Linked DNA regions of Caenorhabditis elegans. The protein of the gene in region 1 interacts with the protein of each later gene in a pairwise test. Each region holds a gene or a part of one and is shown on either strand. Other genes may lie near its edges.

Region 1 (2,997 bases):
GGGTGGCATTTTCTGTTTTAAAAAACAAGAAAGTAGAAAACCAGGACTAGGAAGCTTACTGGAGTTCTTGTTGCTAGGTAGTAAACGTTCCAACATAAAAATTGATATATGTGAATACATTTTTGAGCATCGCACAAAATTGCAAACTTTTCCGCAAAAGTGGCATGGTATTTTTGAATTTTTTGAATTAAAGTAACTAGATACGCGAGTTTTTTTTTGAATGCCCTTTCAACACTAGTTTATAAGGTTTAATTGTGACATTTTCAAACGTAATTGCTTTTGGTTAAATAAAAACTTACTGTTGCTTGTTTAGCCTCACTCTTAAAATCAACATATTGAAACAGTAGATGTTTTTTTTCAAAATTTCCAAATGTTTCAACAAGAAGATAGTCAAAGTGCATTCTGTGTTAGAACCTTGCTATGGAATATTTCATTTTAGGAATAACTCTTCAAAACAACACCTTGAAACTGTTAATAAAAATTTTGTGTAATGTTTGTCAACAAGATTACAGTCAAACTTATTTATTTGATAAGAAACACAAAACACTTGATACATAGAAATTATTTGGAAGTCGATGGTTCAGCTGCGTCCTTCTCAGCATTCGCCTTCTTCTCAGCTTCAGCCTTCTCCTTTGCAGCTCTCTCAGCAGCTTCATCCTCTTCATCAGTTGGAATTGCAAAGATGATTCTCAACTCATCAGGAGACTTTCCGATAGCCATCATGGCAACCATCTTGCATCCATAATTCATTAATCCAGGCACATCAAGGTAGTTGCAGGCAACAATCAAGTCGAAGAGCACTTCGTTGTCGATTTTCAAGAAGTTGGTATCCCATTCGGGAACAGTGATATGCTTTGGAACACTGTCATCATCAACTGGAAGTGCTTCTCCTTTGTGTTTCTCACACCATTCAATGACCATCTTCAGGATGTTTCCAGTGACATTTGTAATTGGAATTGGATCCATTGAAGCTACATCTTCTGGAGCACATGTAGAGATTAGATTGGAGAGTGTATTTGATTGTTTTACTGCTTCATCACTGATTTCGAAAACTGTTCCATCATTTGATTCAACTTTGTACATGATTGGAGCAGCAACTGGAGCTTCTTGGATTTCAACGGCAGCGACTTCAGCGGACATTGTTGGTAGTTTTAGAGTAGTTTCTGGAAAAATAATGGGTTGAAAAAATAAAGAAAGATGATTAAGTTAAGAAAATGTAGGAAAATCTGATTTCAAAAAGTAAAAAAAAGAACTGTATCTAACAGCTGTTATAATTTCGGGTAACAACGTTAGATAATAGTTTTGAAATGTGTATAGAAAGATAGAAAAAAATGTAGACGACTGCTCACAATGAGATATAAACGATAGAATGACTCTGCAGACAGACTATCCCTCAAAAAATGTTAGAAATCGATCGATTGGAACGCTGCGTTTGTTCAAAAAGTATTGATTAGTTTTCCACAGGGAGATGATGAGAAATGCCGTCAAGTTGAACGCGACGAGAAAAAGAAAATTTGACTGTTTCAACTGGTTGTTATACATTTGGATAAGATTTATATAGTATTGCATCTAAAGTTGATTGAAGAGTTATACACGCAAAATCAACAGCATGGAACGCTGCGTTTGTTCGAAAAATATCGATTTGTCTAAAAAGGTTTAATATCAACCGACAAGGTTGTTGAGGAGGCCCCTAATATTTTATCGATCAAAAAGTGGTCTGAAATAGTGTAAGCCTAAATTAATCCAAAGGGGTTTAAAGCAACAAATTTGACAAACTGGTTTACATATCCTCGATATGAATTTTACAAAAAAAAAGAAGAAAGCAAATCCCAATGCAATATTCGAATAAGGCTTGCGCTAAAATTTGATAACACCTCGAAATAGCAAAATTTAGAATTGATTTTAAATTTTTTTTGCAATATTGCGACATTTTCTCAAATTACATTTTAGGAGGTTTTTAGAAGATCAGAATATTTTTTAAGGTTATAGGTAATCGAATTTTAAAGTGATTTTTCGGTTTTATTAGTGGTACAACTTTAAGTAATTATCAAGTTTATTTCTCGATCGGGATTTGTTCAAAAATAGTTTATTATAAAAACTGCATCAAACAGGTATTATAGTTTTAGAGAGTTCAACATTTTTAATTGGACTAGAACTTTGAATGCTTAAAGTTTAAGGTTTTCAGACAAACAGATTCTGGGTCATTGATAAAACAAAAGAACGAAAAACCAAAAAAAAAAAAAATTTAAAAAGAAGGAAAAATAAAATGCAGCTGCCCAGGGTGAGAGCTAAATGCAAGAATGACCAATAGCCTAACTGGCTTCGGTTAAAAACGCTGGAAATGTAGGTCAAATTTTGACAGGATGAGATGAGACATTGTGTTATAGGCGAGGTTTAGAGAGAAAAGACCTTTGTTAGGGAAATCCTAGAGCAGGTGCACTGTCTGTTTTTCTAAACCTCCTAGAAATGCATTGAACTCTCTCTACCCAATATCAATAATTGACCTAGATTTGCAGCGTCCCAGTCGTTTTCTGGAAAAAAACAGTCTGCCTGATTGTGAGGAGTCATTTATACATTCTCTTCTCATTGTGAGTAGTCGCATTTTTTGTTCTTTCTTTTTTTCCATTTTTCAATGCATTCTATTTGTTTCTCCAATTTTTTATTCCATTTCCGACTTAATTCAATTTGGTTGCTACCTTGCTACGTCTGAGACTTGTAGATCAAATATTAACATAGTTGCTAGAATACAGTAACAAACATAACAGTTTTATAAAAACGGACCTAAATTTTGATTCTTTGCAAATTAGTCCAATATTTTTTTCCCGAGAAATACCCCCTAATTTTTACCCGAAATTTGGTATATTTTAGAAACAGTAATTTTTTTTTCACCTCTCCAATTACAAAAACGTATGCATCTTTGAGTTAATTTCCAGCACTTTCCTTGTCATATTCCTATAGTATTTCTAATGTGTATAATTAGTTCAGTATTAATACTAT
Region 2 (3,767 bases), on another chromosome or scaffold:
CAATAAATTATTTATTGTATTTTTGAAAAAGAAACAATATTCACAATCAGGCGAATAAAAAATACAGAGTCAATGAGCTACATCCATATGCTCGCAAAGTGTCCAATCCACTCGTATTCACCAACAACGAGAGTAAAGTAAAAACGAGTTGTTGAATAAAGCAAGACGTTCGCGATGGTTCCATCATGTCTCTCAATTGTAAACCTTTTTACGGACTGAACTTCTTCCTTTCTAGTATACTCGATTTCTTTGAAAAGTGCGCATTCATCAAAACGGTTCTCAGTAATGTTCCGAAAACGGATAGTGATTGATTTGAGACTGGGGATAGCTCCTCTTATCCACTGTCTTACAAGGATGTTCAGATCTTTGATGGAAAAGCTGTCACAGGTTACGATAAACTCTGAACAATTAGAGAAAAATAAATCGTCTAGGGTCATTTTTCCATAAGTGAGTTGTAGTTTTTTAAAGTTTTGCGTGAGGGTAGGTTTAGAAATTGGGCCATTTAAAACAATCAAATTTTCTAGGCAGGGAAAAATTTGAGACAACTGACAATATTTAATGTCATAACAGCTAATTATTCCCAGACTAACTACTTTTAGTTCTTTAATATGTTTCTTAGCAATTTCAAAGAAATGGAACGATGAATCAAAGAATTCCACAGATACTCTTTGATTTTGAATAAAAACTTCAAAAATATGTTCAAGCCATTTGATATCACTGAATGCTTGTACATTTAGCTTTTTAAGTTGATATCGGCCACTGATACACTGGAGAATCTCAACAATCGACTGTTTACTATTGAGAGTTAATTGAAAACCATGAAAAAGGGTTGTGTTTAGCTTTATCAATATCGATGGTCTCATAATTATTATGCTAGCCAATTGACATCTGTTTAGCATTGCAATGAGTTGTTTGATCTTCTTCGAGAGCACTGATAGAGAGATGCTGAACATGAAAAATGTAAATAACTCATTAAAATAAATTTGGAACTTGTGGTTAGATCCATGCATTTTAAATAAAATATATTTTTGCATTAATTGTAAAGGTGTGCTATTCTTTTCTATACATATATTGCATATTTTGGTAATTTATGACAACTATCTGTAAAGTTTTAATTTTAAAAATTTCGTCAGCTAGGTTCTGGAAATTCACAAATGACCATTTTCCAGATTGAAGGTATTGGCTATCGAATGACATAGCTTTCATCTTTTGGCTGTTGCCTAGACTATGATAATTCAACAATAATTCTCGTACATTCCCAAATAAAAATTAACTATAGAATACAGAAGTATTAAAATTTCTATTAAAACTCACTGTTCTACTAGGCTCATTTGTTTGAGCGTTTTTTGAAATATAGATTGAGGGAGACGAAGGATGGGAAAGGAGACGGTAGTCATGCCGATGTAAGATCACGTATAATAATAAAGATGGTACTGAGCAGATAGAGAAAGATGAGAGAGAGAGGAGAGGGAAGGGGGTGGGAGAAATGCAGATATCTTTTTGTTGGAAAATGCCACTCGCCTCCCCCCGTTCTCACACCATCTAACGAGGAGTCTACTGTAATCATACACACAGTCCCCCAGGTGTGCTCGTTTTGCAGCGTACTATAAAGACGACACATCAGACTGCAACAAGACTAATACGCACACTGACCGCGTTCTTCTAAAACGCTCTATTTTCATGTTCTCTTCTCTTTGTCTGTTTGTTCTAAGGACCATTTATCCTTTTTTTTTTATTTTCAAGCAAATTAATTTCTTTCGTTACTTTACGTCTTCTTAATTTTTTTCTTGATTTTCAAGAAGAACATTCGAAAGTTTTCAGCAGTTACAACCATTCCTTGCCATGGGTGACACAACTAGGACCCCTTTTCCTCTTCTGCTTCTACCACAAGAAATCATCAGCATTACTCTTCGACAAATGTGCCTCATTGAGCAGTGAGTTTTAATACCTTTTTTTAATTCCACACTAATTTGTTCGCAAGGGTAGGCGGCAATATACCATTTTCGGCAGTTCCAAACTTCTGCAATTCGTCAATTATTGAGTTCAAAAAGTTTGGAAAAAACTAACTTCTACTCTACTCGGCAATACGGTCTAACTTCATAGCATACTCTTGCAACTTCTTAACAACAATTAGGCATGTTAGCTTTTAAGCAAACTTCTGCAGCTTTTCAGACGACTTTTTCAATTTCTTCGCAGATGTAAAGCTAAATTTCGCTCACAATCCCGTTGGTTTTCGCAACTTCTTCGCAAGAAATACGGTACATATGTTTTAATACGAATAATTAACATGAAAAACATAAAAAATGTAGAAAAAAACTTTTTTTTTTGGTCGACTTCCAAAATTATGAGTGGCAAAAACTGAGTAATTGCCACTTTTTTGCAGTTAATAAAAAACTTTCAGAAATTTTTTGAAACGTTTTATTGTGATATGCAGCCAATGTTCCAAAAAGTACACTGAAAAAAATTAAAAAAAAAAGACATTTTTGGCAACTTACCAAAACTTTTGCTGAAACTTTAACAATCTGAAAATTTTTGGACAGTTTCATTTTGATATTCGGTCAAATTGAACTATTGAATTCATACTGAATCCCCACTGACGATTCATTCTTTAAAAAATTAATTTGGAAGAAACCCCAAAATAACAGCTTCAAGTTGACTCCCAAACCTTATGTTATTTCAGATTCTCGATCTCTCTACTCTCAGCAAAAGCGAAAACTGCGGTTGCCAGAGTCAACGGGAACCACGAAAGTGTGTCATTCTCTGATTCGACAATCAGGCTGAGGTCCAGTCTCAATGACAGATATTGTAAGAATCTTCACGATCCTTGTACTCTCCCACCGTCATACAAGAGCATTACTTTCGTATAGTCTTACAGGTCCAGCAAGTGATGTCGTAGCGGATAACATCACGGTTATCCGGCCAGAACCGCTGCCCAAGACAACGACTAGGCCTGCCAACGTTTGGAGGTCACGATGCAAGCGCGCCCCACCGGACGGCGCGCGGATCTGAATTGCCGGCGCCAACTCTAATTGTCATCATTCTCGACTTTTCTTGGCCCCGCCCAATTCCCCTATATAAGGAGCCGGAAACGCTCATTCTAGGTCTTCTCTAATTCCTTTTACTTGTGTTACTTATCGTCCTTTTCCCCTCCTTACATGTCCCATTAACTCGGTGATTTCTCTATTAATTTATCCTTAATAAACCGTAATAACCTCAAAACCTCCAACTCTTATTATTCTTTAAAGAATTAATTTGGAAGAAACCCCAAAATAACAGCTTCAAGTTGACTCCCAAACCTTATGTTATTTCAGATTCTCGATCTCGCTACTCTCAGCAAAAGCGAAAACTGCGGTTGCCAGAGTCAACGGGAACCACGAAAGTTTGACATTCTCTGATTCGACAATCAGGCTGAGGTCCAGTCTCAATGACAGATATTTATTCATATTTAAAGAAAATCCACCGAGGGTGGTAGCTAGAAGGAATATGCGAGGATCTGAAGACGAAATCGAGATTCCTCACCTCACACTTATCAAGTTCCTGGACCACATCCACGAGGTTTTGCATCAGAACCGGCAAATCCACATTAACCTCGAAAATGGGATGAATGAAGAGATAAAAACGATTTGTTCTCTCTTTGAGAACAGGAAGATCGCGAGCTGCAGCACCACATCCACGGAAGTTCAGGGGCACCATCTCTTCGGGACTCATCCAGAGAACCTGGAGATTGTCGTGGTCCCAATAAGAAAAGAACTCTTGGTTCAAAATTA
Region 3 (5,053 bases), 3.8 Mb from region 1:
CCCGTGTGCACCAAGAAAACAATTTGTAACTTCTGTTCTTCTAATCTCTCCACTATCACAATACTCTTTACACAATCAAATTTTTTAGGATAGCTGTTTTATTTCTTTCTAGGTTTCATGTGTTTTCTTCCTCGAAAAGTTCGAGCGTTTTCTCAAATTTTAGGTTTTTGAACATTAGCCCATAAAACACATAAAAATCATAATAGGAATATAAAAAACATTTTTTCTAACTATTGCAATTTTCAGCACTCTTCTCCCGTTTTGTTTGAATAAAATTTGTATCGAAATTTTTTAGGAGCATGGTTTTCTACTTTCATTCAAATTGTGTGCGTAGTCTTTTTTATATTTTTAAAAAATATTTTAGCGAAGATTTTTAAAGTTTAAAAATTGAGAACTGGTCTTCAAAAAATCTAGAAAATTTCAAGTTCTTCTAATTATAAGTCAACCACATTTTCAATGACTTTTTTTTCTAAGAGCTAACTTTTCAAAAAGTTGTTGTTTTAAATTGTAAGCCATTCTCCGTGGGCCACAAAAATGTATGCCTACCTGCCTTCAAGGCGACCTACGCCTGGCTCACAACTTTTGCAAAATTACACATAAAATCTGTTATTTACTACCCTGTTACTTGTTGCTTCTATAACTTACATTCAAATAATTTCCATTGCAGGCACAAGTGCAAAAGTGCCTGCATGTTCTTAGAGTGGTGGTCTTGCGTAAATCTATTTTTTTTTTCTCTAACAAAAGCCCACATTAAAATTTGGAAAATGGGCGAGAGGCAAGCCTAAATTAGTTACGTACAAAACCGTAGCCTTTTTTCCTCATTTACACAATATTTGGTATACATAAAATAAGAAATAATAATTTAACGTACCTCATCGAGCTCTGCAATTATGTCATTTTAAATATCTTATGAATAAGTACAGGAAATCTCAACTTTCTTCCTCTCCCGACCACACCAACCCCAGACGATCCTTTGTTCATTTACCCGCCAACGAGCTTTTCCTATTCGGAAAGGTTCGATCTCAAAAGCAATGCACCGCCCGTAATTGCATCCAATTGTTATTGTTTTGCCACTATTGAGACGTTCAGATGATGAATTACGAATTGCTTTTCCCTCCACCAGTTTTCCTTTTCCGACGCCCCGTATCTCCATTTTGATGATTTCTTCGTAAATCGTTTATTTTTTTTCTTGCTCGAAAAAATGTGATTTTTCAATGTGATTTTTTCTCTCGATTGCTCGAAGAATTATTACATCATTTTTCGACTTGTAGAATGCAAATGCTTTGAACTTTTTTAAAACTTGATATTTGCAAAGGTTTTTTTCAAATTAGTTGACTACTAAACTATTCAAAAATCTCGCTTATTTTTTTTATTTAATTTTTTTTTTACTTTTTTTAAAACCAATATATGAAAAGACATTCTTCGTATTTTTCCAAATAGTTTTGCACCGTTACAGCTCCACTTTGCCAGTTGATATCTCAGCTACTTTTGATTTTATCAAAAAATATTAAATTGCTAAAATGTAGGTTCAAGATTTTTCTACATTTTACCAACTGTAAATTTTTTTGATAATTTCAAATATGCAAGATATGAGCTATCAAAAAATATAATAGATTTCAGAAATTCGGGCACACATTTTCCTGCCTGCCTGCTCACCTTAAAGGCAACCTACTCTTACCTCGTACCTCGTTACCGCGCACTATGCGTATATCTGAAAAATTACAAAAAATGTAGGCAGTAGGCAGATAGGCAGGTACATTAATACATTAAAATTTAACATGCATTTTTCAATTTTTTTGCATTTTTCAATATCTCAATTTCAAAATCCCTTCCCCCCCTGTGTGCTCAACTGTTTCATTATTTCATCGATATCCTCAATAAATGAAGGAGTAAAAAACTAATATTTGCTCACTTTTTCGTGCTAAACGCTTCTCCATTAAACCTTTCTCACTGTTTTTTTTTTCAGAAAAACTCTCCCCCACACACATATGCCCTCCGGATTCGAATGAGTGGCCTTTGCCTTGTGCTTCTTCTCTCCATCTTTGCAGTTTCACAAAGTGAGTTTCTAACGAGGGAATCGTTTAATTTCATTTCCATCAAGAGAACGGACACCAATTTCTATATTTCTTGCGACTTTTGACACCACTTGCCCTTTTAATAGACGACTAGGGGATTAGCGGAAGGTTGCCCCAAAATGTTCTTATTCTCGTTTCCGATCTTTTTGTTGGATGAGATGAACTAAAGCCATAACTCAAACATTGAGCATCACCGAGAAGACACAAAAAAACCACAAAAACCAATGAACGGCAGGTGTCATTGGACACTAAATCGTCAGCAGTGGGGGTCTATGAATAATGAGCGAAACAGAGAGAGAGAGAGGAAAACCATCTGTCGGTTAGAATGTGTTGTTGTTCATCCTAAATGCTTTAGTCCTTTGAGTATCCGTTGAGCATACTTTTTGAAAAGATGTCAGGATTCTGGAGGACCGGAAATTCGTGAATTTGAATTCGAGTGGTCACCTCCCCCATGCAACTCATTTGAGCGAACACGGAAAGGCTACAATTTGGACACACGCTCTCTATCTTTTCAAGTGGCACAAATTCTTTTAGGTTTAGGGATACTCTTAAGAGCTCAAGGATTTACATGGGTTCTGTAATTGGGTAGTTTTGTTGGAAAATTTTTGTCGTTCTGTGAACCAGAACGATATTTGAATTTCGGTATACCAAACTAAAAATGTTCCAACCTAATTTTAGCCATTTGAGTAGAGCTTGCTGTCATACATTGGCAACATTTTATCGAATCTTTAGCAAAATCCTATAGAGCTTTGGAAACTTCCTGTTGAATTTTGGGAATTTTCTTTCAACTCTTTGCTAAACTCTGGCAAAATTCTATTTAAAAACAACTGAAAGTTTCCTATCAAACTTTGGAAACATTCAGTGAAAGTTTGACGCTTTCCATCAAATTTTTGCAACTCTTTTTTTTTTCTTATCAAACGTTTGTGCATAGTTGAATTGTTAAATTAAAGAAACCATCTCAAACAAGAAAATAACTAAATTAGTCCACTTTGTCTCTTTCAATCCTTTGATCCTTCACATATGCTCTAACCGAAAACCATAATTGTATTATGCAATGTGGCTTCTCGTCTCTCAAAACATAACCGAAGGGTGTCCTACCAGTCTCCTGGATTAGCACTACGAGTCATCGCAGATGGCTCAACTCGTCACACCGAAATAATCCTGTTTAACAAAGACCTTTTACACATGTCTCTGGACACCACCCAAAAAAGATCAAAAGAAAATATTACAAATTTCTTGCAGGCTCGGGCGAATGTAGCGACGTCTCCTTCTCATCCGTCGCATCGAAATTAGACGGTCTAAAGAGAGTGACACGTTTGTCGGTCAGTGGACATATTTCTGCATATCACGTCAAGGTGTCCATCTCGGATGACGACTTTCAATTGGTTCGACTCTCGAATGGAAATCCACTGGTACGATGCCATCCCTCAAGGGAATTATCTCTTATCTAGAGACACCGACAAAAACACAAAGTGTCCCCTCCATCTGTTTGAGGGCGACAAGATTAATGTGCGAAGAGAAACATGAAAAACCATGTCGTTTCAGGTCCTCTATTCAACGTTATCAAATACACCATCGTGGACACATGTTGACTTTTTAGCCACTGAAGTTCGCATATTTCCGGCGTTTGAACAAGCGACAGAAGATGTCAGGGGACCTTTGTTGATTCTCACGATATGTGATTATGGTAGGTCAACAGAGAAAGTGGGAGTTGTTAAAAGTATAAGTATGCATGTTTATTTGGTATACAGGTTCAGCAACTGATAAATGAATTACCGTAGACTTTGATTGCCTCTTGTTTTTGGTTTTTGACAGTATCAAAAATATGTCAACTGATAGAACACTTTTTAAATATTTTAATTTGAATTATAAGTTCAAAATGTTTTAATATGTCTAAAATATCCAATGAAAAGCTATGAAAGTGAAGGTTTGTGGAGACACATATGTTTTTGCTTGCATGCCTTCTATCGACACAATGGGCAGGTACCTGAAAATGAAAGGTACCTACAGATTATGAACACCTTGATTTTAATATTTTTAATTGAATTTTCAGTTTTTCAGACATGAAAAATCTTTAGAGACTATAGGTTTAACCAAAATATTTCTACATTCCAATTTTAAATTAATGAAAACTTCACTGAAAATTTGTCTGGTCAGGATAATTTGAAATATAGATGTATTTATTTTATTTATTTAAAAGGTTAGGCCCAGAAACCGGTCTTTATTTAAAAAAAAATGTATTGAACACCAAAATTATTTCAGACACTCCGATCACGGCATTTGATGACTCTTCATACACCGTAGAAGCTCATCACGCAGGCCTTGTCTCAATGTATGAGAATGATCTTTGCGTTGTCTTTCGAACCTATAGATCAGGAGTATTCTTCTTCTCAATGGCTGATCAAGGAGATGTACTAATTGCACAGATCATCCATGGAACTGTTCATGTTATATTTGATTTTGGATCTCTTACACCATCTAGAATAAGTGCTGGTAAAGCATTGGATGATGGAAGGTGGCATGAGGTAATCCTTAATTTTTTAGATCATTAATCTCATTTGTGACCTAATTTCAGATGAGATGGCTTCATCAATTCGACTCTGTGCAACTGTCAATTGACGGTGTCCTCCTTAACCAGACGGCTCCAACGGGTCTTTATCGAAAATTGGACTTGCATAGTGTGGTGAGTGCTCTTGAGGTTCCAATTGTTGAATGAAATTTGAGAAGCGTTCCGTTGTAATTACCTTCATGAACGAGGACCACCCGTTGTGTCTGTTGATCTGCGGATTATCGCTCTTACTTGCAGGTACATATTGGAGGACGACCAAATGATGACTTCTCGCAAGGGATTGAGACTACATTTACTGGTGAGTTCATGGGAGAATGATTATGGGATTTTGTATATATATTTGGTGAAAACGAAAAACAATCAAATCTAAATAACAAGAAGGTTATAGAATCAATTTATTTACTGATTA

Evidence for each region. Proteins that work in one complex are often made in the same cells at the same time.
Region 2: the proteins of skr-10 (region 1) and W08F4.12 interact in a two-hybrid assay, tested with the Caenorhabditis elegans proteins (one large-scale study listed by BioGRID).
Region 3: the proteins of skr-10 (region 1) and nlr-1 interact in a two-hybrid assay, tested with the Caenorhabditis elegans proteins (one large-scale study listed by BioGRID).

Annotation. Positions count from the first base shown.
Region 1 is NC_003282.8:15,944,950-15,947,946, reverse strand, and holds skr-10 (Skp1-related protein), read right to left. Parts: upstream 1,141-2,997; coding exon 562-1,140; downstream 1-561.
Region 2 is NC_003280.10:582,466-586,232, reverse strand, and holds W08F4.12 (F-box domain-containing protein), read left to right. Parts: upstream 1-1,815; 5' UTR 1,816-1,842; coding exon 1,843-1,934; intron 1,935-2,172; exon of another isoform or gene 2,173-2,258; intron 2,259-2,680; coding exon 2,681-2,805; intron 2,806-2,867; coding exon of another isoform or gene 2,868-2,875; coding exon 2,876-3,009; 3' UTR 3,010-3,219; downstream 3,220-3,767. Other genes in the region: W08F4.13 (F-box domain-containing protein), read right to left, coding at 78-945, 1,315-1,397; fbxb-14 (F-box associated domain-containing protein), read left to right, coding at 3,484-3,767.
Region 3 is NC_003282.8:12,175,288-12,180,340, reverse strand, and holds the start of nlr-1 (Neurexin like receptor 1), read left to right. Parts: upstream 1-2,005; coding exon 2,006-2,057; intron 2,058-3,268; exon of another isoform or gene 3,269-3,317; coding exon 3,318-3,487; intron 3,488-3,620; coding exon 3,621-3,762; intron 3,763-4,337; coding exon 4,338-4,600; intron 4,601-4,650; coding exon 4,651-4,758; intron 4,759-4,881; coding exon 4,882-4,942; intron 4,943-5,053. UniProt on the Caenorhabditis elegans protein: Required for gap junction formation, playing a role in anchoring the cytoskeletal component F-actin to the membrane of adjacent cells and thus facilitating the formation of gap junction channels in embryonic cells, muscle cells and neuronal cells.